3 linked regions of the Diceros bicornis minor genome follow. The protein of the gene in region 3 interacts with the protein of the main gene of each other region in a pairwise test. Links are inferred from orthologs where the notes say so. Each region holds a gene or a part of one and is shown on either strand. Other genes may lie near its edges.

Region 1 (7,168 bases), on a different chromosome or scaffold from region 3:
GGGTGAGGCCGGACAGGGGCCCTGGAGAGCAGGTTGGAGATGGGAGTGGGTTGGGGGACAGAAACAGGAGGGAATGCCAGTTTATGTTCACATTTACCTGGAGGTTTTAGAGAGCTCTCTGACATTTCTCGTCACGCTGAAGGAAGGGCTGGAGGGAGTCCGGGTGTGGGGGAGCCTCATCCTCTTCTCCTACCCTGGTTCAGAGTCAGAGCTGCAGATTGCCCTCATCGCCCTCTTCTCTGAGATGCTCTATCGCTTCCCCAACCTGGTGGTGGCACAGGTGACCCGGGAGAGCGTGCAGCAGGCCATTGCCAGTGGCATCACAGCCCAGCAGGTATCTCCATTTGTGGGAGGTGGGGGCAGGAAGGGACTGGCTGCACTTGGGCCGTGGGGTACAGGCTGGTCACCTTACAGAAAGCTGGCACCTGATCTGTTACAGTAGGTGGTGGTGAGTTGTCTGTGTTTGATCACCAGGCATTGAGAAGTCAAGGCTTTAGGTGTGGGAACAGGCAGACCCTCAAGGGGAAAAAACATGGAGGGAGGAGGTACAGCTCTGGATTTGTGTCTTGGCATCACCACTTCTTAGCTGCATAAACAGTCTAGTTGCTTCACTTCTCTGAGCCTCAGTTTCCTCATCTGGAAAATGGAAATAATGACAGTTCTCACCTCATAGGGTTGTTGGGAGGATTCAGTGAAAGAATAGAGGGTAAGGCATGTAGCTCAGAGGCTGCCAGGCAGTAAGTCCTCACAAAATAATAGCTGCTGCTATTTTAAAGAAAGAAAAACAAAACAAGACTACAAGAAGGGCCAGAGAAGGAGTAGCAGACATGACCAATGGGAACAGCCACTTGAGACAACAGCTGAACAGGGATGGGTTGAGTTGACTACAGGCACGTGGCTATGAGTTTTTAAACAGTAAATTGATGTTCCAATGACTTAGGTGACAGCTTGGGTAGCTTTCCTACCTTCTTCCTCAAGCCCTTGATCCCATTCTTGTCTGTTTTCCTAGATCATCCATTTCCTAAGGACAAGGGCCCACCCAGTGATGCTTAAACAGGTACAAACAGGTGCCAGGCTGCTGGAGGCTGACAGCCCCTGGCACCTGGTGATGAAGGGATGGAAACGAGAAAGGGGCATCCAAGTCTGGGGAATGAGTGGAGGGCTGGGGGTGTCTGGGGCAGTGTTCCTGAATTTTACAGGCATCTCTTGCCCCTGCAGACACCGGTGCTGCCCCCCACCATCACTGACCAGATCAGGCTGTGGGAGCTGGAAAGAGACAGACTCCGGTTCACCGAGGGTGAGTGGCTTCTGGTGGGTGATTCTTGGTCACTGGCCAGAGGAAGGACAGTTCAGTCTTGATGAGCTGAAAAAGCTATTAATGCATTTTATTTGTTTACCGCATGGGCTGGGAGAGAAAAGCTGGCAAGACACTTGTTATTTTAGGGTGAGTTGGTAGTAATAAATAGTCTCAAATCAGTGCAATGTGGATTTAGCTAGAAGAGGGAAATTGGGAGGGATAATTCACGTATCTCTGGTTTTGCTGAGCATTAAGGGGTTTTTTTATTGTATTATATCACCTTCCTGAATATGGCTGGATCACACTAGTGGTAGAAGGTCCCTGGAACAGACAAGCATAGAGGATTAGTTTTTAAATTGTGGTGGGTGGCAAGCCCGGACCCCTGCCCTGAGGCTGCCATAGGGGCTCTTCCCTCACGTTCTGGTCTTTTCTCTCTCTCTTCCCGCCACTGCCGTCCTGGGACCCAGGCGTCCTGTATAACCAGTTCCTGTCGCAAGTGGACTTCGAGCTGCTGCTGGCCCACGCGCGGGAGCTGGGCGTGCTGGTGTTCGAGAATTCGGCCAAGCGGCTCATGGTGGTGACGCCGGCCGGGCACAGCGACGTCAAGCGCTTCTGGAAGCGGCAGAAGCACAGCGCCTGAGGAAGCGGGCGGACCGGACCGGACCTGGGCTGGGCGGGGCGGGCCAAGCCGGCTGTGGCCTCAGAACTCAGGCGTTTTTTATTTACACGTGGGGACTCTTGTTTAATAAAGTTGTGGAAGTCAGCCACGCGGCCCGGGCGCCTCCCCGCTGGGCTTCCCCTTTCCGCGGTGGGGCGCCTCTCCGCGGGGCTTCCCCTCTCCGCGGTGGCGCGCTCCTCGACGTCGACGGCCATTCGACTCGGAGGGGAAGGGGGTGGGGCCGAGGCCAGCTACTGCGCATGCGCCCGGCGGAGCTCCGGCGCCCGGCGCCGAGCGGATCGTGGGTCTCGTTCCGGGGTCGGGTTCGCCGGTTCATGCAGCTCTTGTTGCCGCCGCCGCGGGCCGCCCTGGGATAGCGGCGGGCTTGCCCGGTGAGCGCGCGTGAGGCGGCTTCTGGGGAGTGGGAGGCGCTGCGGGCCCGGGGCCCACGCGGTTGGATCGGCGGGAAGGCCGGGCCGCACAGGCCTGGGGGCGGGGCGGGCGGCTCTGGGCAGGCCGAGATCGCAGTGATAATGGGGGTACTCATTGCTGGCGCTCGGGCGCGCTGATGTAGATCATCCTCCTAGATCCCTGAGACTTTTCCCCACTTGTGTGTCAGCGGTCATCTCCGCGTCGCGGATGAATACGTTGAGGGCCAGAGATTCCGATCCTGTCCCAGAAGAGCCCTGATCTCCGTGACCCTCAGGAACCTGTTACTGTCGACACCACGCACGCTAGTCCTCACGGAGGAAGGGTTGTGTGGGAAGGGATAGATACTTAGAATAACAGACCAGTGCTAGTAGGAGGCAGGGAATAAGGAATAGGGTGTGACTTTAGGGGGTATGACCTTCCGCTACCCCCATATTTTAATGTACTCTGTCTGGAACAGATCTTGGCCCCTTTCCAAGCACTCCTGATGCCTCATTTGCCTCTGGCCTCTTTTCGACCACCGCTTTGGGGGCTGAGGCCCTCACGGGGCCTCCCCAGGTCCCATCCGCTTTCTACTCAATCAGAGCCCCATGGATCCCCTATCTCCCGGAAGAACCGTGAAGCCAAACAGAAGCGCCTGCGAGAGAAGCAGGCGGCACTGGAGGCTGGGATAGCCCGGAAGAGCAAGGTTAGGGGTCAGACAGCTTGTCCTTGGTTCGATGAGAAGACTTGGGAGGGAGCTGGAGTATCCTGGAGGGTGCCTGGGGTATCCTGGGAATTGCATCTCCCCCTTCTGGTCCTTCCTCCCCCTAGTCACCAGCAGAATCCAGTAAGGCCTGGGCTCCTAAGGAGATAGTACTGTATGAAATCCCCACGGAACCCGGTGAAAAGAAAGGTAACTAGGAACTTGAAGGTCGTTTCTCTCACCATATTTGTTGCCCATTTGATCTGCTGAAATGCAGCCTGGGAACAAAGTTCAGGAGTTAGTGGAGCTCTCTTCTGCCTCCACAGATGTCTCACAGCCCCTGCCCCCTACATACAGCCCCCGATATGTTGAGGCTGCCTGGTACCCATGGTGGGTGCGAGAGGGCTTCTTCAAACCAGAATATCAGGTTAGTACATGGCAGGAGGGGGACTAAACGGTCCCCAGGATGGACTGGTGAGTGAGGTTGGTGGACACAGCTGAGCCTCAGAGCCCAGAGCTCACAGCCAGCCACATTGCAGAGCCTGTCAAAAAACAGGGAGCGCTTGCCTTCTGGCCCTGGTGTCTCCAAAGCGTTTTTAAATCATGTTTTCCCCTTCCCTGCAGTTCTTTCTGCCTTGGAGACACCAGAGGGTGCTATCCTCTCAGGTAACATCCAGTCCTCTCTTGCCATTTGACTTTTCTCCTTCCTTCTAGACCCAGCTGCCCCAGACCACAGGGGAGACCTTTTCCATGTGTATCCCACCTCCCAACGTCACTGGCTCCCTACACATTGGTCATGCGCTGACAGTGGCTATACAGGATGCCCTTGTGCGCTGGTGAGAGGGGAATGGGGCTGCTTGAGTTCTTGGAGGGGAAGTAGAAAGCGTGGGAAGGAGTGAGGATAAACACGTAAGCCCAGGGATTCACATGAGCATATTTCTTTTGCAGGCACCGGATGCGTGGGGATCAGGTGCTGTGGGTCCCTGGCTCAGATCATGCAGGAATTGCTACCCAAGTATGTCTTCTGCCACTTTTTCCTTTTCTTGAGTGAAAGAGATTTCTTCCCCTAAAGCAACCTGATTCTCTGTTCATTTGCCCTCTAATCTTATTGTAGGCTGTGGTGGAAAAACAACTATGGAAGGAGCGAGGAGTGAGGAGACACGAGCTGAGCCGAGAAGAATTCCTTAGGGAGGTGTGGAAGTGGAAGGATGAGTGAGTATGATGGGCAGGGGTGGAGGGGCCAAGAGAGCAGGTGGAGATGCTTGCTTCCCAGCCACTCTGTCCTAACTTGTAATCGTGGCTCTTCCCATCCAGCCCTAACCTCCTTTGGAGACATAAGCTCTGGAGCCCCTTAGCATTTGATGGGGTCTCCTAGCTGTGTGTGTGATATACATTAAATTGTATATATTTATGTGTATATGTGCATATGTATATATATGTTTTTTTCCTCCACTTATCCCATTTTCCTTTGCCTACATTTCACCACCTCTTGTCACCCATTTCCATTTTCCGTGTGCGTGAAATTACCTTCATTCTTCCAGATCTGTTATCACATGCCGTCTTCTCTGTAAAGCTTCTTTGGGTTTCCCACAAATCAGCTGTCCCCTCCTCTGTTATGCTTCTTTTAAACTCCTGGGTTTGTGAGTCTGTCTCCATTAGCTTCCAGAGGGCAGATCAATGGCACACTCACTGTAGTACTCAGCATTGCTGGGGCCATCACTGGGCCTGGTTCATAGTTGGCGGTCAGGACATGTTTGCTGATGGAAATCTCTCTGGGCACAGGAAAGGTGGAGAGATCTGTGAGCAGCTCCGAGCTCTGGGGGCCTCCCTGGACTGGGACCGAGAGTGTTTCACTATGGATGCTGTGAGTGTTCCATGTCTTGGTCCCTGTGGGTGTCAGGGGGTGTTTAGAGACCTGTGCAGGGAGGCAGGTTGTTGTGTGTGTTGGATGTAGGAGGGTGGGAATGCCTGGGCCCCTGAGTGGGGCGATGGGCTGGGAAGGGGCTGTTGGATGTGGACACTCAGGTCATTCTAGGGCTCCTCAGTGGCTGTGACCGAAGCTTTCGTGCGACTCCACAAGGCGGGGCTGTTGTACCGGAGCCAGCAGCTTGTCAACTGGTCATGTGCTTTAAGATCAGCCATCTCGGATATTGAGGTGAGGCGGAGAAAGAGAAGCAGGTTTGAGAGAGTGCTGAGGCAGGGTGAAAGCTCAGACTCTGGAGCCAGTCAGCCTGGATTCACATCCGGGTCCTGCCATCTACCAGCTGTGTGAGTTCTGGCAGGCCATTAGCCTCTTTCAGCCTCAGTTTCCTCAGTCTGTAAATTAGGGATGATGGAAATGCTTGCATCATGGGGGTGTTGTGAGAATTAAATGAGAACTCATGGAAGGTGCTTAGCATGATACCTGTGCGTGGTTTAAGTGCTCACTGAAAATTTTCTATAACTGACTGCACAAGAGTTAGGTGAGGGGAGAGGGAGGTGGCTTCTGAATCCTCTGAATGGCTTTCAGATGGGTTGCAGGGAGGCTGGCATGGATGGATGAGTGGAGGTGGGAAGGCTGGGTGTGAGCTTTGCAGAAATGCTGCTCTCCAGCCCTCCTTCGCTGCCCCCAGGTGGAGAACCGGCCCCTGCCTGGCCGCACGGAGCTTCGACTGCCTGGCTGCCCCACCCCAGTGTCTTTTGGCCTTCTCGTTTCTGTGGCCTTCCCCGTGGATGGAGAGCCTGGTGAGGGTAGTCTTTGGAAGGGTTGCCCACTTACCTCTGCTTCCTCTGTTTTCTTGAGCCATGTTGGGCTAATGGGGGAGAACCACCAGCCTGTTTCCCATGTGACCTGGTGGGAGGGGCATGAGGAACCTTGAAAGTGTTTGCGTTCTTGTGGGCACTTACCATGGGTATTCTGGGCCATGTAAGAAAAGTTCATGTGGTCACCGCCCTTTGGGAATTTAGCATAATTCTGCAGGAGGCTGCTACCTCCAAAAGAGACAAAAGTTCTAAAGTGTGGTTTGGACAGTAAGTGTTCCAAAGACTTCAGAGAAGGGGAAGATAGATGAGCTGGAATAGTCAGAGGAGGTTTCTTGTCGGAAGGGCTGGTGCTAGCCCCAAGAAATGCACAGCATTTGTGACTGGGGCTCTGCGAACCCCCAGTGTCTTATGGGTACAAAGCAAGGACTCTGGTTGCTTTTATGAACACTATATCTATTTCTTCTATGCAAGTTATTGAGGAATTCCTTAGCACCAGACACCCTCTCAGGCCTCTGGTCATTAGCTTACACGGAAACCCCAGGCTCCTATAGGCCCTGGCTCTAATTTTCTCTAGTTACCCCTGGGGGCTCCTCGGGGCCTGCTCAATGTTGACTGCTCTCTGCCCTGTCCCTTTGCCAGTTCTCCTGGCTTTAGCTGTGTCGAGAGTGAGGGGGCAGGGTGATGATCAGCTATACGTGCTTGAATTTTGTTTGCAGACGCAGAGGTTGTGGTGGGAACCACGAGGCCAGAGACGTTGCCTGGAGACGTGGCTGTGGCTGTTCATCCCCACGACTCCCGATACACAGTAATACCCAGTGCGCTCCCTGTCCCCGGCCTTCGGCCTTTGTACACCCACAGCTTTCTCTTCCCTTCCTTTGGGATGGTAGCTCCTTCTCTCCTCCTCCTACTTCCTTTTCCTAAGACTTCTCTCCTCTCAGCTCTCCAATGGCCCTGAGTCAACTCCCTTTTCTCCTTGACGTTACACTTTTTCTCTAGCTTAGGGGTTGACAAACTATGGCCTGTGGGCCAAATCCACTCTGCTGCCTGTTTTTGTCTGAGCCACACTCCTTCGCTTGTGTATTATTTACGGCTGGCTGTATTATGTATCATCTAGCTCTGCTACGGTGGCAGAGGGCAGTTTTCGTGCAGAGACTGAATTTGCCTCTTGGCCCACAAAGCCTAAAATATATACACTCTGGCCCCTTAAGAAAAAGTTTGCTGACCCCTCTCTAGGTCTTTACCTTCTGGTTCTCACTCTTTCATTCCTAGGGTTCTCATGCCCAGCCCAGACTTTTCCACCCCCTACATATGCCTGTCCTTGATCCCTCTCCCCTTTCTTCAGCATCTACATGGGCGA
Region 2 (7,168 bases), on a different chromosome or scaffold from region 3:
TTGGCACTGGAACGTGTGTGATGGGCAAAAAGCAAATGCAGCCCCTGCCCTCTTGGAGGTTACAGCTTAGTAGGAAAGACAGACTTTAATCAAATAACCCCACGGAGAGATGACAAGTTACACCTATGCAATATGTGCAATAAAGAAGTGGTCTTGGAGCTCAGTGAGGAGGAAGTGCCCATGCAGGGAGATTTCCCTGGTAGTGAGGAGTGAATTCAATCTAAGGGATGAGTAGGAGTTTACCAAGCAAAAAGAGAGGGAAAAAGCCTTTCAAGAAAAGAGAACAGCTTATGCAATGGCCATATGCCTGTGAGCCTGACCCAGGGCTAGTGGAACTGCAGGGGAGAGAGAACAAGGTGGAGCTTAATAGGAGATGAGGCCAGAGACAGAGGTCAGATCACACAGGATCCCATTGGCCTCCTTAAGGAGTTGTGTCTTTAGTCTAAGAACAGTGGGAAACCATGAAGGATTGTAATCACAGGCTATGGACAAATTTCCATTTTAAAAAGGGCTCTCTGGCTGCAGGACTCATAGCAGACCCTCAACCCTCTTTTCCTCAATGCACCCTCAGGTACTAAAGTTGCTAAGTTCTGCTCGCTGATCCTTCCTCCTCATCCTTTGCATCCCCCAACATCTCTCATGGAACAATTGCAATGGTTTCCTAACTGGTCTCCCTGCCTCCAGTCCCACCTCCTCTACACAAGCTTGATCTTACTTGATCTTCAGAACATGCCTGCAAGGAAGCAGAGCAGCAATCCTTATCCCTATTTTGCAGATAAGAAAACTGAAGTCTAGTGGTGCTGTGGAGCTGGCTCTTACAGGCTTGTGAAGGCCAACTGTTAAAATTTCAGGAATTTTGCAAGCCAGTTGTTAAACACAGTCGCTATTAACAATTCAATTATACAAACAATTAAACAAATGATATTAAAATCAAAGATCTCACAACTCATCATTTCCTAATAATTTTACTATTATTATTTACCTATACTCTTGGGGTTTTTTATGTTATTGTGTCTGCATGATGAAACTATCGCATAACGGTATGCTACTGCTTGTCTTTTTTTTTTTTTTGTGAGGAAGATCAGCCCTGAGCTAACATCCATGCTAATCCTCCTCTTTTTGCTGAGGAAGACCAGCTCTGAGCTAACATCTATTGCCAATCCTCCTCCTTTTTTTCCCCAAAGCCCCAGTAGATAGTTGTATGTCATAGTTGCACATTCTTCTAGTTGCTGTATGTGGGACGCGGCCTCAGCATGGCCGGAGAAGCGGTGCGTCGGTGTGCGCCCCCATCGGAACCCAAGCCGCCAGTAGCGGAGCGCGCGCGCTTAACCGCTAAGCCACAGGGCCGGCCCTCAATTATCTAGATTTTAAAAAGGGATGGAGGGGCCGGCCCGTGGCCCAAGTGGTTAAGTGCCCGTGCTCCACTGCGACGGCCGGGGTTCGCCGGTTCAGATCCCGGGTTTGGATCCCGGGCACGCACCGACACACCGCTTGTCAAACCATGCTGTGGCGGCCTCCCATATAAAGTGGAGGAAGATGGGCACGGATGTTAGCCCAGGGCCAGTCTTCCTCAACAAAAAGAGGAGGATTGGCAGATGTTAGCTCAGGGCCGATCTTCCTCAAAAAAAATAAATAAAATAAAAAACTAAAAAGTGATGGAGAAAATGTTAATAATTCAGATTTAAATTTAGTGTGTGTGTCGGCCCGGTGACGCAAGCGGTTAAGTGTGCGCGCTCCGCTGCGGTGGCCCAGGGTTCGCCGAACCAGGGCGCACACCGCTTGGCAAGTCATGCTGTTGCGGCGTCCCATATAAAGTGGAGGAAGATGGGCACTGATGTTAGCCCGTGGCCAGTCTTCCTCCGCAAAAAAAGAGGAGGATTGGCAGATGTTAGCACAGGGCTGATCTCCTCACACACACACAAAAAAGAGTAAATTTGTGTCTGTAGCAGATATGTTGTGAATAGCACAAAAATTGAGGAAATGTGCTTTCAGTACTTGACAACTGTTTTCTGATTCAGCAAAGAAGTTGCTCCCATAATTGACAGTTTTTCTCTTTCCTCTTACATTGACATAGAGGAAAATATCAACCAACATTCATTCACGTCGCAATTACACTCCCCGGTCAATTGAAACCACAGGTTGGCTACCCATACCAGAGTTTGGCAAAAATCAATGAAATTATTCTGTGAGAATCAATTGGTTACATGAAAGTGCAATTGCATATCATTATTATTTGTAAATTGTACACTACACATCCTTTACATCAGTATAATTTATGATAAACTTATGTACCTATATATATGCATACATTCCCCTTTTCCCCCCAGAGGGTCGGCTGTTCAACATTTAGCAGCACACCAGTGGGTCTAGAACACATTATTCATGTGTCTTTCCATAAATATGCCAAGGGGATACAGTTAGTCAATGAAGAAATGACTCGGCCACGGTTACACATCGCAAGCGGCATAGGCGGGACCAGAACCAGAGGTCCTCCGAAGGCCAGCGGCTCTCCCAGCACCACACCAGGCTTTCCAGGGCCGCTCCACCTTACCGGGAGCGGTGGCTTAGGCCAGAGCGCCCGGGAAGTGAAAAACAGGGTCGAGGCAGGGGGACCAACGACCAGGCGAGAGGCAGCTCACGGCCAATAGCGGCCCAGGCCGCGCGCAACGTCACACTCCGTGGAGGCCGGCACGATCCTGTCCCGGGGAGGGGGGCGTGGTCACAGCCTCCCGGAAGTGACGGCATCGGGGGGCGGTCCTCGGCGGCGGGGGCGGCGGCGCGCGGCCTGGGCTCGCGCTGGGCTCCGCGCGCCCTCCGCCCCCCTCTATGAGGCAGAGACCGCGGCGGCCGTTAGCGCTGTCGCTCCGGGGCCCGCGGCGGGCGGGGCTCCGGCGGGGCCCGGCCTAGTCCCCACCCCAGCTCGGCTCCCAGCCGCCCGCCCTCCCTCCCTCTCCCCGATGCAGGGGGCCGAGCTCCGGGATGGCGAGGCGGCGGCGGCGGCGGCGGCTTCGTACCGCGTCCTGAGCCGCCTGCTCGGCTATGGAGAGTCGGCCCCCGAGCCAGGCCCGCCGCCGCCGCCCCCGGGCCATGGTCCCCCGCCGCCACCCTTCCTCTCGCGGCCCGGCCCGCGGGGTTCCCGGCCGCCGCAGCTGATGGTGTTCCGCAACGTGGGTCGGCCGCCGGAGGAGGAGGACGCGGAGGCGGCCCCGGACCCGGGACCCTCGGAACTGCTGTGTCCCCGGCATCGCTGTGCCCTGGACCCGAAGGCCCTGCCGCCGGGGTTGGCGCTTGAGCGGACCTGGGGCCCGGCGGCTGGACTAGAGGCGCAGTTGGCGGCTCTGGGGCTCGGGCAGCCGGCGGGGCCGGGGGTCAAGACGGTCAGTGGGGGTTGCTGCCCGTGCCCGTGCCCCCCGCAGCCGCCCGCTCCGCAGCCCCAGCCGCCTGCTGCCGCCCCGCAGGCCGGGGAGGATCCCACGGAAACGAGCGACGCGCTGCTGGTCCTGGAGGGCTTGGAGTCGGAGGCCGAGAGCCTGGAGACCAACAGCTGCTCGGAAGAGGAGCTCAGCAGCCCTGGCCGCGGAGGAGGAGGGGGCGGACGGCTTCTGCTGCAGCCCCCAGGCCCTGAATTACCCCCGGTGCCCTTCCCGCTGCAGGACTTGGTCCTTCCAGGGCGCTTGAGTAGAGGGGAGCAGCAGCCGCAGCAACCTCCCCCGCCCCCGCCTCCTCCTGGGCCCCTCCGGCCACTCGCGGGCCCTTCTCGCAAGGGCTCCCTCAAAATCCGCCTCAGTCGCCTGTTTCGGACGAAGAGCTGCAATGGTAGCTCGGGCGGTGGGGATGGGGCCGGCAAGAGGCCTTCTGGAGAGCTGGCTGCTTCAGCTGCGAGCCTGACGGACATGGGAGGCTCTGCGGGCCGGGAGCTGGACGCAGGGAGGTGAGAGAGGCTGGGGGGCTGGCTGACAAACTTTCCCTTCTTGTTTCATTTCCCTTTTATTCTGTTGCTAACACGATCCTGACAATTGTTATGGTCTTCATGAGGAGGCAGAGACTTGGGGCTAAAGGTGGTGACATCGCCCATTAGGTCGGAGCTAATTGTGGGAACAGCTTTCACTCTTAAAGAGTTCCCTCCCCGGTGAAACCTCTCAGCGGGTTAGCATCTCTAGATGGGAGATGATTTGAAACCATCCTCCCCACCCCAACCCTGGCCCAGCTTTTAAAGTTTTTACAAGGTACCTGCCTACCATTACCCCTGGCACCGAGGTTGCTGGAATGTTTGGCCTTTGGGGCAAAAAGTTGGTATTGCGTTTTGACCACCTTGCTTATTACTTTGTGTATCAGCACCCCACCCCCTTCACACTCATGCATGCAAATGATGTGACAAACTTGTGCAGTTGTAGGCCAGCAATCAATTGGGTATCTCTATTCGAAGTGTTAATGTTTTCCTGGTTGGTCACTTAGGTATACTTGGTATCTCAAGTGTGTGTGCTGACCACTGCCTGTGAGAACAGAAAATAGTTTTGCTCTCAAGCCCATGGGAAAATTCTAAGTATGAGGTATTGGTGCATGAGTTTGAGGCCAATTGATGAAAATTCCAAACTTAGACATTGAGTTTTTTCTTGCATTTCTGGAGGGTGGATTGCTCTCTGATATCCAGTGTTAGATCTGTAATATCAGTTTAGAAAAGTGTCAACTTTTGTGTCACCAAAATGAGGCCTCCCTTGTGGTAACTGCCATTGTGGTTTGTGCTGCTGAATGGATTCTTAGAAAGATTGGAATTGGTTTTGGGTGGGTCATGTGATGGATTCTTGAGACACACTGGCAGCCACAACCCAAGGCTGAAGAACAGGTAGACGAATAAACTGAGAACTTTGCTGTGCACCAGAATCACATGGAGAGCTTTTGGGAAAGATCCGTATGCCTGAGGGCCCAAGAATTTGAATTTTTAAAGGCTCCCCAGTTGATCCTGAAGTCATGACCTGAACTGGGAACCACTTATCCATAGACTGCTCTTTTCAAGGGAACTTGGATACTCCAAGTGTGGGGTCAGTTTGACTTTGCTGCCCTTTCTGAACGGCTGCGCAGGGGCTCATCTTGGGGATCAGACCAAACCCGAACTCCCTAAAGGAATCGGTAGGTTGATGCTCATTGCCCCTGCAGGTAGGCCTGTTTCTGCTGCTGCCTCCCAATGAACTCATGCTGAGAGCTCAGGTCTTGAAAAGTGTGTGGCTGCTGAAGCAGCTTTTTTTGTAGGTAGGCTCTGCATTCGGTGCTCCACTTACCAGTACAGATGAAATTTTCATCAAATGGGGGGAGGGCAGGATTGAAGCTGGGGGTAATGACATAGGATAGATTGCTGATTTTCTTGTGGTTTGTCTTGCCTTTGTTCCATATTGACCAGGACTTGGTCTAAGATTCTTGCGACGCCAAATATGAGGTGTGGCGTGAAATTAGCTGCTACGTCTAATAGATTAGAAAGAGGAAAAGGCATATAACATTATACGGTTTTTTGCCTTTGGAAGCAGAATTTAATGGTCATTGGCTGCTCTGTCACCAGGTCTCACACTAAGCACAATACAGATTTCTGCTGCAGAGCAAATTGGGCTGTAGCTCTGCAAAGAAGCTTAGTTCAGGCCACTGGAGAATTACATTTTTTGGTCCAAGGGCTTTTTCTGATGAATTGGAGAAGAGCTAGGTATTTGTGTGTGAACGTCTGGTTGACTGCTGTTAGGAGGCAGCAGGTTGTACAAAGAATGTGAACATTCAGATTCCATTTAAAGCTCCAACATCAGCTGTGGGCTGCAGGCTAATTTTGTCATCTTCGTGCTTCCCCCTTTTTTCATCTGTAAAATGGGAGTGATTCCTGTCTTGTTCCTGTCATAGAAATAGAGTGAAGACAAGAGAAATTGAGATGGAATATTTTGTGCTTTTGGAGGAGAAGTAACAAGATTGAACTGGTTATTTTATTTTATTTTTTTAATGCTTAGGATTTGGTGCTGTTAGATTTGCTTGTTAGCTTTTCCACAGCTTACTATGTGCCAGTCTTGCTGGCAGCCTCGCAGCTGTGAGAAACTTGGTAAAGTCTGGCCGCGGTAGTTGTGATTTCTACGGATCTGCACCTCCTAAGTAAGTCTGCCCTGTTGGGAGGAAGGATGAGTTTGGATTTTTAGCTTGTTCTCTTGTTTTGATTGGTGGGACCTGGAAGCCATGAGAAGTGTCAGTCTTTTGCCAGAAGGTAAATGCCTTCCTCCTTATTGTTGGTTGGAGTTAATTATGAGTTTCTGCAGTCTTTGCTGTATAATTTGGGGCTGCTACAGTAACCTCTGGGCATGATTCTCTTTGCTCTTCTCAACATCTACCTTTCCCACAGCTATCACTAGAAAGTACTTCCTACAATCATTTTATAATCTTTCATATTTTAACATTAAGCACAACTTTAGTTCCTTTCAGATGCTTTAGCCTGCTGAGTGGAACTGCCTGGATATACTGAGTCTTGGGTCTAGCAAGAGTTAGCCTAGAGAACTCTTTTCAAGTAAAGGAAAAAATGGGCCCACCAACTAATCAGGTTTCTGTTCTGGAGAACTGGGCTAGGCCTTGTAACACACATATGTTGGAATTCAAAGAGCTGGGCTTGATGCCTGTGGGCCTTGGTGTAATATAGAATTGCTATTTCAGGAAAACTAGTGAAGTTCCCTTGTCTGTTTCACATATGTTGAGCTGATTATCTTCCTTTGTATTTGGTGAGAAACAGCATTTGATCTGACCTTTTTGAATCGTCACATAATATACACTTGGTTGGAAATGGGTACCTTGTTAATTTGTCAAGGTTTGTTTTTTCCCAGTTAACAGTTGAGTTAACTGGCAGTCTTCATAGTTGTGAGGTGGAAAAATGGAGAACAGTTCTATAGTGGTTTCCATCTATTTGTTTGGAAAAAAAGATAGAATTCTGGAAGAGAGGCAGGCTGCCTTGGCATCAGTTTGGGGCCCTGCTGTCGTGGACAGACCTGGCAATCATGAGAAACCCTTTTCTCTGTTTTCTTGGGTCTTCAGGTCTGAGGGGGTCTTTTTGAGAAATAGCATGACATGCTGAGAGCAAAATGATTTTATGGTGTGCTGAGGAAGTTCCGACTTTATGTTTGGGTTTTGGGTCCATATTCTGTTGATCTTTTTACCT
Region 3 (7,168 bases):
TGCCCTTCTTTTGTCTAATGTCGGGGGACTGAGGCACAGAGCCAGGGAGCCCCCTTGGCTGCTCAGGGTAGATCTCAGAGGGTGACATTCGAATGCCAGACTCCCAGCACTAGATAAAGACACTCCTTTGATGGGTTGTAATTAGTATTTTGGTGGTGAACATGATGTAGTCCATGCAGAAATAGAAGTACAATGATGTACACCTGAAATTTTTGCAATGTTATAAACCAATGTTACTGCAATAAACAAAAAATTAAAAAAAAAAAAAAAAAGACACTCCTCAAGAAACAAGAATTCAGGCTTATGTCTTCTGGGATCCGTTGCTTCCTTTCTCTCATTTGAGAAATAAAACTAAATTCTCTGTTCACCCTCCTCACTTACAAAAAAAAAACTACTTAAGTGCTCTTTCCATTTATCCCTCCTCTTGGTAACAGAGGTTGGTTTTCAGAGTGACCTGTATTCCTGTATGAACAGCCACCCTCTTCTCCCCTTGGTGTGAAGAGCCACAACATCTATTGGTAGTCTCTCAGCTAATCATCCCTTAGGGTGGTGGGCGTGGACAGACCTCTGTTGACATGGGTGCCACTGGGGGATAATCCATAGTGTACAAGGTGGCAGCCTCAAGGAGCAGGGTGGGTGTGGGGCATCCTGCTGAGTAGGATCAGATAGCTAGGAAAAAACAGAGCAGTTATGTAACTTTGTTTACCATGGCTCAAGTGGCTCTAAGAAGACAGAGGCAGCCCCCTGACAAAAGGCAGTCCCAGAGATGTGGAAGAGTCACAGGGAGGGAGGTCCCTGTTAGATAATAAGGCAGACGCCAGAGGAGATAGTGGATTGGGGTGAAAGGAATCTACTCTGTTGTTGAAACAGCCAGGTCACCTAGGACAGCCTTCCCTATCCTCAGCCTCTCCCTAAACCATGCCAGCTGTCTTAGGGGTCGGGCCAGCAGCAAGTAGAACTGAGACTGGAGGGAGGAGCTGAGAAATCAGACACCTGTTTCTTGGCTGAATCTCTGGACTTTGGTACTTTTTGCCCTTTAATCTTCCACTTTTCAAAGAGGAGGGATTCTTCTCCCTAAATATGGGCAGAAAAGGAGGAGTCGGTCAAGGTTCCTTATGTTCTATGCTCCCACCAATCTCTCATCCTCTCTTCTGTCAAGCTGGATGGGCACGAGGAAACATGATAGAGGGATCCTGTTACAGCTCTTGTCCAAGCACATAGCCTAAGACTCTGGGAAGGAGGGCGATTTCCACTGGTGCCAGGGCAAAGCAGTTTCTGTCCTGAGAGAGAAGGTGATAAGCACAGCAGAGCCCGGGCCTAAGTAGACAGGCAGAAGTCCAAGAAGCTCAGGAGAAAGGCTCAGGTTTCCTCCAGCAAGGCCTACCCCGCCTCCTCCTACAAGCTGTTTACTGGACTCCCTATTCCCATAGAGATGAAACTGGTAGCCAGTCCCCAGCTCCTTGCCCATGGCTGCCACCTCCCTTTGTGACACACAGGAAGTTGAGACCATTGTCAGCTCAGCTGCACCCTCTACGTTAAATATTTATCTTGGAGTCCAGGTCAGAGCCCTAGAGAATGAGAGAAGCTTGCTGCTGGTGAGAGAGGGTATGGCCAGGATTCCTGGAGCTGGGAGATCTTCAGCTTCACCATCTTTGGAGAACAAGGAAGAACATGAAAAAGATGTGGCCCTTCTTAGTCGTGAGGATCCTGACAGGTGGGAAAAAACTGATGACAAGGGACATGGGCACATATTTTGTCCCTGAGGGAGGGAAGGAGATGGTGCCTAGGGGTGGGTAAGTAAGTATCCAAGCTTTAGGGAAGGGAAAATGCACTTTGCCCTCAGGAAGTCCGAGAGCTCCTACACTCCTTTCTGCAGCTGTCGTCTGTGGGCAGGGCTACCCATCCCAACCCTGTCCCTTCAGCTGTCCTGGAAAATCACTGACTCTTGGAAGGGGTCTTCAAGGTGATCTCGTTCAGCTCCCTGCTCCGTGCAATCATTGCCTTTACAAAGGTGTCCCCCAATTGGCAGAGTACAGAATTCCTGTAATCATGTAAAAGCTCATCCTTGGAAACCTTGGATTTGCTTCCAAGTGGGCACCCAATGGTCCCACTTCTGCCGGTGCAGCCAGTCTGTTTCCTCACACCACCCTGAAGACACTGGGAGCTAGCCAGCATGCCTCCCTCTCTTAAGCTTCTTCTCAGCCTAAACATCTCGTTCTGCTTTTCACGTGTGATATTGTTTCAAGCTGGTTCACCCCAACTGGAAACATCTTTTAACTGAATTGAGGAAGGATCAAGCTAATAGCATCAACGATGTAGGAATTTAAGAAAAGATTCTTTCATCTTTCCTCCATTCTCTTCCTTCTTCCTTCTGAAGGTTGAATGATGTGCTTGGAAAACACTCTGAAGTGCATGGTGGCCTCAGGGCACCAATCTTACACCCAGTAGGTATGCAGTAAACGTTTTCATATTTTCATAATTTATAATTGATCACTCCCGAAATGGATCTGAAATTGCCCAATAACTATTTGCTATATGGTTGGTTTGGAGCTTGGGGTCCCAGAACCAAGCCAACGGCTAAGAAGTACTCCAGAGTCTTTCCATCAGCAGTAAACATTCAGTAAGCACCCTCACTTTCTATAACAGGCCCTGTGCCCACCAGAGGCTTGGGGGAGAAGGGGAAGAGGGATGACCAAGGGGTGGAGAGCCACTGGACGCGGGCTCTTGGGACCCGTGTCAGAGCAGCGGGAACAGCGGAAAAGCAGCAAGATCAAAACAAACACGCGTATGGGAACACCAAGACCCTGGTAACCCCATCCCGGCCAAAGGGACTCCGCCCTCATCCTCTTCAGGGGCGCGGCTCGCCTAGGGGGCCAGCTCCCGTCGGTGGATTTCCTCTCCGGGCTGCCCTCCGCGGTGCTTGCACGTGTGTGAGCATCCGCCCGTTTGCAGTGCACACGCGCCTGTGTGTGTGTGTGTGTTTGCACACGCCGGGCACGCGCTTACGCAAGCACGAGATTTCTCTCCCCAGGGGCGGAGGGAGGCGGCGGGACCTGAACTCGGTCCGCTAGGCCGCTCTGCACGTGGCGCCCTTATCTCGGCCCCAGCCTGTCTGCAGCCCTGTCCTGTCTCCGAGGCTGCCGGCTCCGTATCAGTTGCTGGCTCGGCCCGGCCTCTTGAATCAGTCCTGCCCTCTGTCCTGGCTCCGCCGCGCAGGGCTCCCTTCCCACACGCTGGAAATGTCGCTGGAAACTCTGAGTGGCTCTCGCCGGTCCTCCCGCCCCCGCCCCGACGCCAGCCCTGCGGTGGGGGCCGGGAGAGGCAGCTGGGAAACCCGAGCGGGCTCCCCGGGGACCCTCGGCGGCCCCTCCCGGCGCCGCCTCCGGCCGGCCCGGCCCCCTCTGCAGGGGCCCCGGCGTCCCCGCCCGCCCGGCCCCGACGGAGGGCACTCGCACGCCCCCGGCCGCCAGCGGGAGAGGGAGTCGCCGCCCGCCCCCGCCCCCCAGCGGCCCACAGTCCAGACTAAGGGCGACACTGCCGCCCGCCCGCGCCTCTCCTGGTCCTCCTGCGGTGCGCGCCCTCGGCCCCGTCGGTCCCCCGCTCCCCTCGGGCGCCGGCCTTGCGGGCCCCGTCCTGACCCGGTCACGAGGGCGGACGGCACAGCCCGGGTTTCTGCCTGCCCTCCCTGCCCGAGCGCCCGCCGCGGCCGCGCCAGGCAGGAGCCGGGCAGAGATGCCCCTGCGCTCCCGGGCATCCTTAGGCCCCGCCACCTGCTCGCCGGGGAAGGTAGGTGCCGGCAGGGAGAGGGGCGGAGAGGGGGCGGGGGCCGCAGGCCGGGAGGGAGCCGCGCCCGACCCGAAGGGAAGGCAGAGGGCCCCTCCCCCTGGGGTCCTCGTCCCAAACTCTGAGGTGGAAAGAGGTAAGAGGCCCTCCCTCAATTCAGAAAAGGCGAAATTCGAGGAAACCTGGCCGTGTCCATGTGGACTTGTAGCTGGAGAATACCCGGGAAAGCGCCGAGAGCCAAGCCCCCGGGGTCGGGGCGGTACTTGGAAGTGGGAAGGAGCCTACCGACTCCAACACGGCTTCTGCAGCTCTTCCAGCCCTTTGGAGCTGGCTGCCGGGGTGAAGGGCTTCCTGAATTCTGGGGGGACCCCGTAGATTTCCTGGTACCCTCTGTCCTCTGCCGGGCGTGGGACCAATTCGCCCGTGCCTCTGTCTCCCCTATAAGTCCTCCTTAATGTCTCCTGGCTGGCTGCCAGGAGAAAAACTCAGCCACTGTTCCCCACCCACCCCTGCATATCCCTGGGGGGTGCCACGGGGCACAGTGTTGGGGAGGGGCAGATTGAGCCACCAAGGATCAGCAACCCCTGAAAAATCGGTGTGTGGGGGGACCTCCTGCCCCCACCCCATCCTACTAGAGGGCAGTTCTCACGAGCACAGCAGGGTGGGACCGAGGCGAGGGAAGGAGGCCGGGTCAGCTGATGGTTAGGGCTGCTGATGCTGACCTGGCAATTTGGCCTCAAGCAGTCAGCTGGGCAGGAAGGGGTTGCTGCTAGGAACCAACCTTCTCCAGGCCTCTGTTCTCAGGCTCTTGCCTGCCTCAATTTCCCCCACAAGGGGAGGGAGAGCAGGAGAACTGGGGCGGGTCTGCATGTTTTGCTCTTGGTAGGAGGCCTAATTGGATCCAGCTGGTGAGCTGCCCCTCCTCCAGCCCCAGCCCTCCACTCTTCCACAGCCAGGGATGGGCATGGAAAAGCTGTCCTCGATAGGTCTTTTGAATGTCAGAAGGAATCCTCACTCAGACCAGAGACAGGGAGCTGCCCCCAGCCTTGTCTCTACCCTCCAGCCCCCCATGCCCTGAGCAGGAACTGGGTACCGGAGTAATACAGCCCCTCTTGTACCTTCTTCCCCTCTGGTCCCCATAACTCTTGTGCTGCTCATATGACCCCCCACTGCACTCTCCCCCACCTATTACTCAGCTGACACCCCTCTGTACCCATACCCCCACTCTGCTCACGTGACCCTGGGTGGTACGCTCCCCAAGTCGCGTTCACAGCACTGTGCTTACATTCTACCACACACACACACACACACACACACACAGCACCTCACAAGGCCCTCGCAGCCCTCCCATGAACCCCCAGACACCACAGGCACACACAAGGCTAACCGCTGAACAAAAATGCCAGAATTGGTCTAGCCCCAGAAGGTGGTGGAGGTTGGCTCAGCTTCTGGCCCGGTGCAATAGCACAGGTGAGGAGAGACAGGCTCCACACCTCAGCCCTCTGGGTAGAAAAGCCCTGTTGGACAGCCCCATTGCCTCCATCTCCAGAGTGCCTGCAGCCCCCTTACCCTGACCCAACCCTTGCATGGGGCAGAAGAACCCGGCTGGCCAGTCAGGCATGGTGCTTCCAGGAAGATCCTTCGTTCAAAAAAGAGCCTGGAGGTGTAGGAGGCAGTGGGGTGTGCCCACATGTATGTGTCTTTGTGTGCGGCACTCAGCACCACCCCTCCATCAGCAAGTCCAACAGAGCCCTTACCCACTGCTTCGTTCTCCACTCCCACTCCTCACTGGCACCCTGAGCCCTGTGAGGCTTCAGTCCCAGCAAGCGAAGGATGCCAAAGAAGGGAGATGAAACTTTGAGTCCAGGAGTGGTTCCTGCTGCCTGGAAATGCCTCCACACTCTCCCCGTCCCCAGAACTTTGGCCCCGTTGGGCAGTGGGCGGATGGCCTTGCCGTTGTCCAGGGCTTCTTCCCCGGCCTGAGTAACCCCTTGTGCCCCCTGGCAAGCAGATGCGCACGCAGGGCCTGGGGGAGGCAGAGGGAACTGAAACAAAATGCTGAGTGCCCAGACCTGCCCCTGCCAGCTGCCCCAGTTCCCTCTGCCTTCCCTCTGGGGGAGCGGGCTGCACTGTGCAGTGAGAGCCCCAGAGGGGCTGACCAGCAGGCCCACGGGCCCCAGGCTTTGTCCAGCAGGCCTGCTCCTAGCCAGCCTCCCCTCCTCCTTGCCTGGGCCTTCCCCTCCCCCACTCCCACCCCCACCCCGAGCTCCTGCCTGGGGCCTAACAAGAGCCCATTGTGCCTCTAGGAGCCGGCATGGGGCAGCCTGCAGGAGGGGCCTGCAGCGGCTGTTTCCTGGGTCCTTGAGCTCCCACCCAGCTGGTCTCGACCCCTTCCCACAGCCGTGCCCTCCTCCCCCACCCCTATTGGGGTCAGGCCCAGAGGGCACAGCAGCCTGGGCTCAGCAGGACTTTTCCTTCCTCCTTCCTTCCTTCCCCACAGAGGACAAACAGCGGAGCAGCTGGCACACCGGGAGTCCTCCGACCTTGACCCAAGCATGCAGGCCCCACCCTGCAGCCTCCCCACTGGGCTCAGCCTGGATGACTTCATCCCTAGCCACCTCCGGGCCCACCTAGGGTCATCCTCCCGGGGTACATGGGTGAGTGAGACAGCGAGGGAGAGGGAGTGCTGTGAGCCCACAGTTGGCGGGGACCTCGCAGGACAGATAGGGGCAGGAGGATTAAAGGAATGGAGGGAGGGAAGGGTTGGGAGGCAGCTCTAGAGAGCCTCGCCGCTTTCCCCCAGAAGGGTCAGGCTGGCCCTCGAGCCCTCACCATGGACTCTGGCTGTGCCCTGGTAGCCATCCCTCCCACCTTCTGCAGAACCTTCTGGGCCTGAGCTGCTGCTCCTGGCCCCTTCCCACAGGTGCCTGTGATCCGGAATGGTGGCTCCAACACCCTTAATTTCCAGTTCCATGACCCTGCGCCCAGGACTGTATGCAATGGGTACTTCCCACTGAGAGATGCTTCCCAGCACCCAGGTGGGTCTGCTCAGGAGTCCCGTGTGGGGGTTGGGGGATCAGAGCCTCCTGGGCCCTGCCATCTGCTACCACCCTGGGTCTGGCAGGAGGGGTAGGGGAGGGATGGGGGGGCCTCTGAGCTCAGCTAACTGCCCCTCCCAGTGTGAGCGTGTTGGCCTATGAGAGTGAAATTCGCTGTGGGAGAGAGCAGGCTGATAGATCCCTTCCCCTCCCCTCCCCCAGTGCCAGGCGAGGGAAGTGTACAGGGGACAGAGCCTTGGGCCCCAGAGTGGCCTCCAGCAGGCCAGGAAATAGCTTGGACCGGGGATGGAAGGGTGGAGGAATGTGAGCATATGTTGGCTGTAGAG

What was found.
Region 1: the proteins of SORBS3 (region 3) and VARS2 interact in binary tests that used the Homo sapiens proteins (3 or more experiments, as listed by UniProt). The two-hybrid records come from large-scale screens. The link is inferred for Diceros bicornis minor from reciprocal best matches to the Homo sapiens genes SORBS3 and VARS2.
Region 2: the proteins of SORBS3 (region 3) and SOCS7 interact in binary tests that used the Homo sapiens proteins (3 or more experiments, as listed by UniProt). The link is inferred for Diceros bicornis minor from reciprocal best matches to the Homo sapiens genes SORBS3 and SOCS7.

The regions. Positions count from the first base shown.
Region 1 is NC_080753.1:34,260,996-34,268,163, reverse strand, and holds the start of VARS2 (valine--tRNA ligase, mitochondrial), read left to right. Parts: upstream 1-2,230; 5' UTR 2,231-2,347; intron 2,348-2,542; exon of another isoform or gene 2,543-2,844; 5' UTR 2,845-2,871; coding exon 2,872-3,072; intron 3,073-3,197; coding exon 3,198-3,279; intron 3,280-3,395; coding exon 3,396-3,496; intron 3,497-3,783; coding exon 3,784-3,905; intron 3,906-4,017; coding exon 4,018-4,084; intron 4,085-4,183; coding exon 4,184-4,281; intron 4,282-4,851; coding exon 4,852-4,933; intron 4,934-5,104; coding exon 5,105-5,224; intron 5,225-5,681; coding exon 5,682-5,793; intron 5,794-6,527; coding exon 6,528-6,616; intron 6,617-7,153; coding exon 7,154-7,168. Other genes in the region: GTF2H4 (general transcription factor IIH subunit 4), read left to right, coding at 1-2, 204-334, 1,010-1,057, 1,219-1,297, 1,765-1,937. UniProt on the Homo sapiens protein: Catalyzes the attachment of valine to tRNA(Val) in a two-step reaction: valine is first activated by ATP to form Val-AMP and then transferred to the acceptor end of tRNA(Val).
Region 2 is NC_080757.1:38,365,188-38,372,355, forward strand, and holds the start of SOCS7 (suppressor of cytokine signaling 7), read left to right. Parts: upstream 1-2,844; 5' UTR 2,845-2,957; coding exon 2,958-3,931; intron 3,932-7,168. UniProt on the Homo sapiens protein: Substrate-recognition component of a cullin-5-RING E3 ubiquitin-protein ligase complex (ECS complex, also named CRL5 complex), which mediates the ubiquitination and subsequent proteasomal degradation of target proteins, such as DAB1 and IRS1.
Region 3 is NC_080750.1:71,326,907-71,334,074, reverse strand, and holds the start of SORBS3 (vinexin), read left to right. Parts: upstream 1-3,605; 5' UTR 3,606-3,786; intron 3,787-6,283; 5' UTR 6,284-6,338; coding exon 6,339-6,440; intron 6,441-6,706; coding exon 6,707-6,821; intron 6,822-7,168. UniProt on the Homo sapiens protein: Vinexin alpha isoform promotes up-regulation of actin stress fiber formation. Vinexin beta isoform plays a role in cell spreading and enhances the activation of JNK/SAPK in response to EGF stimulation by using its third SH3 domain.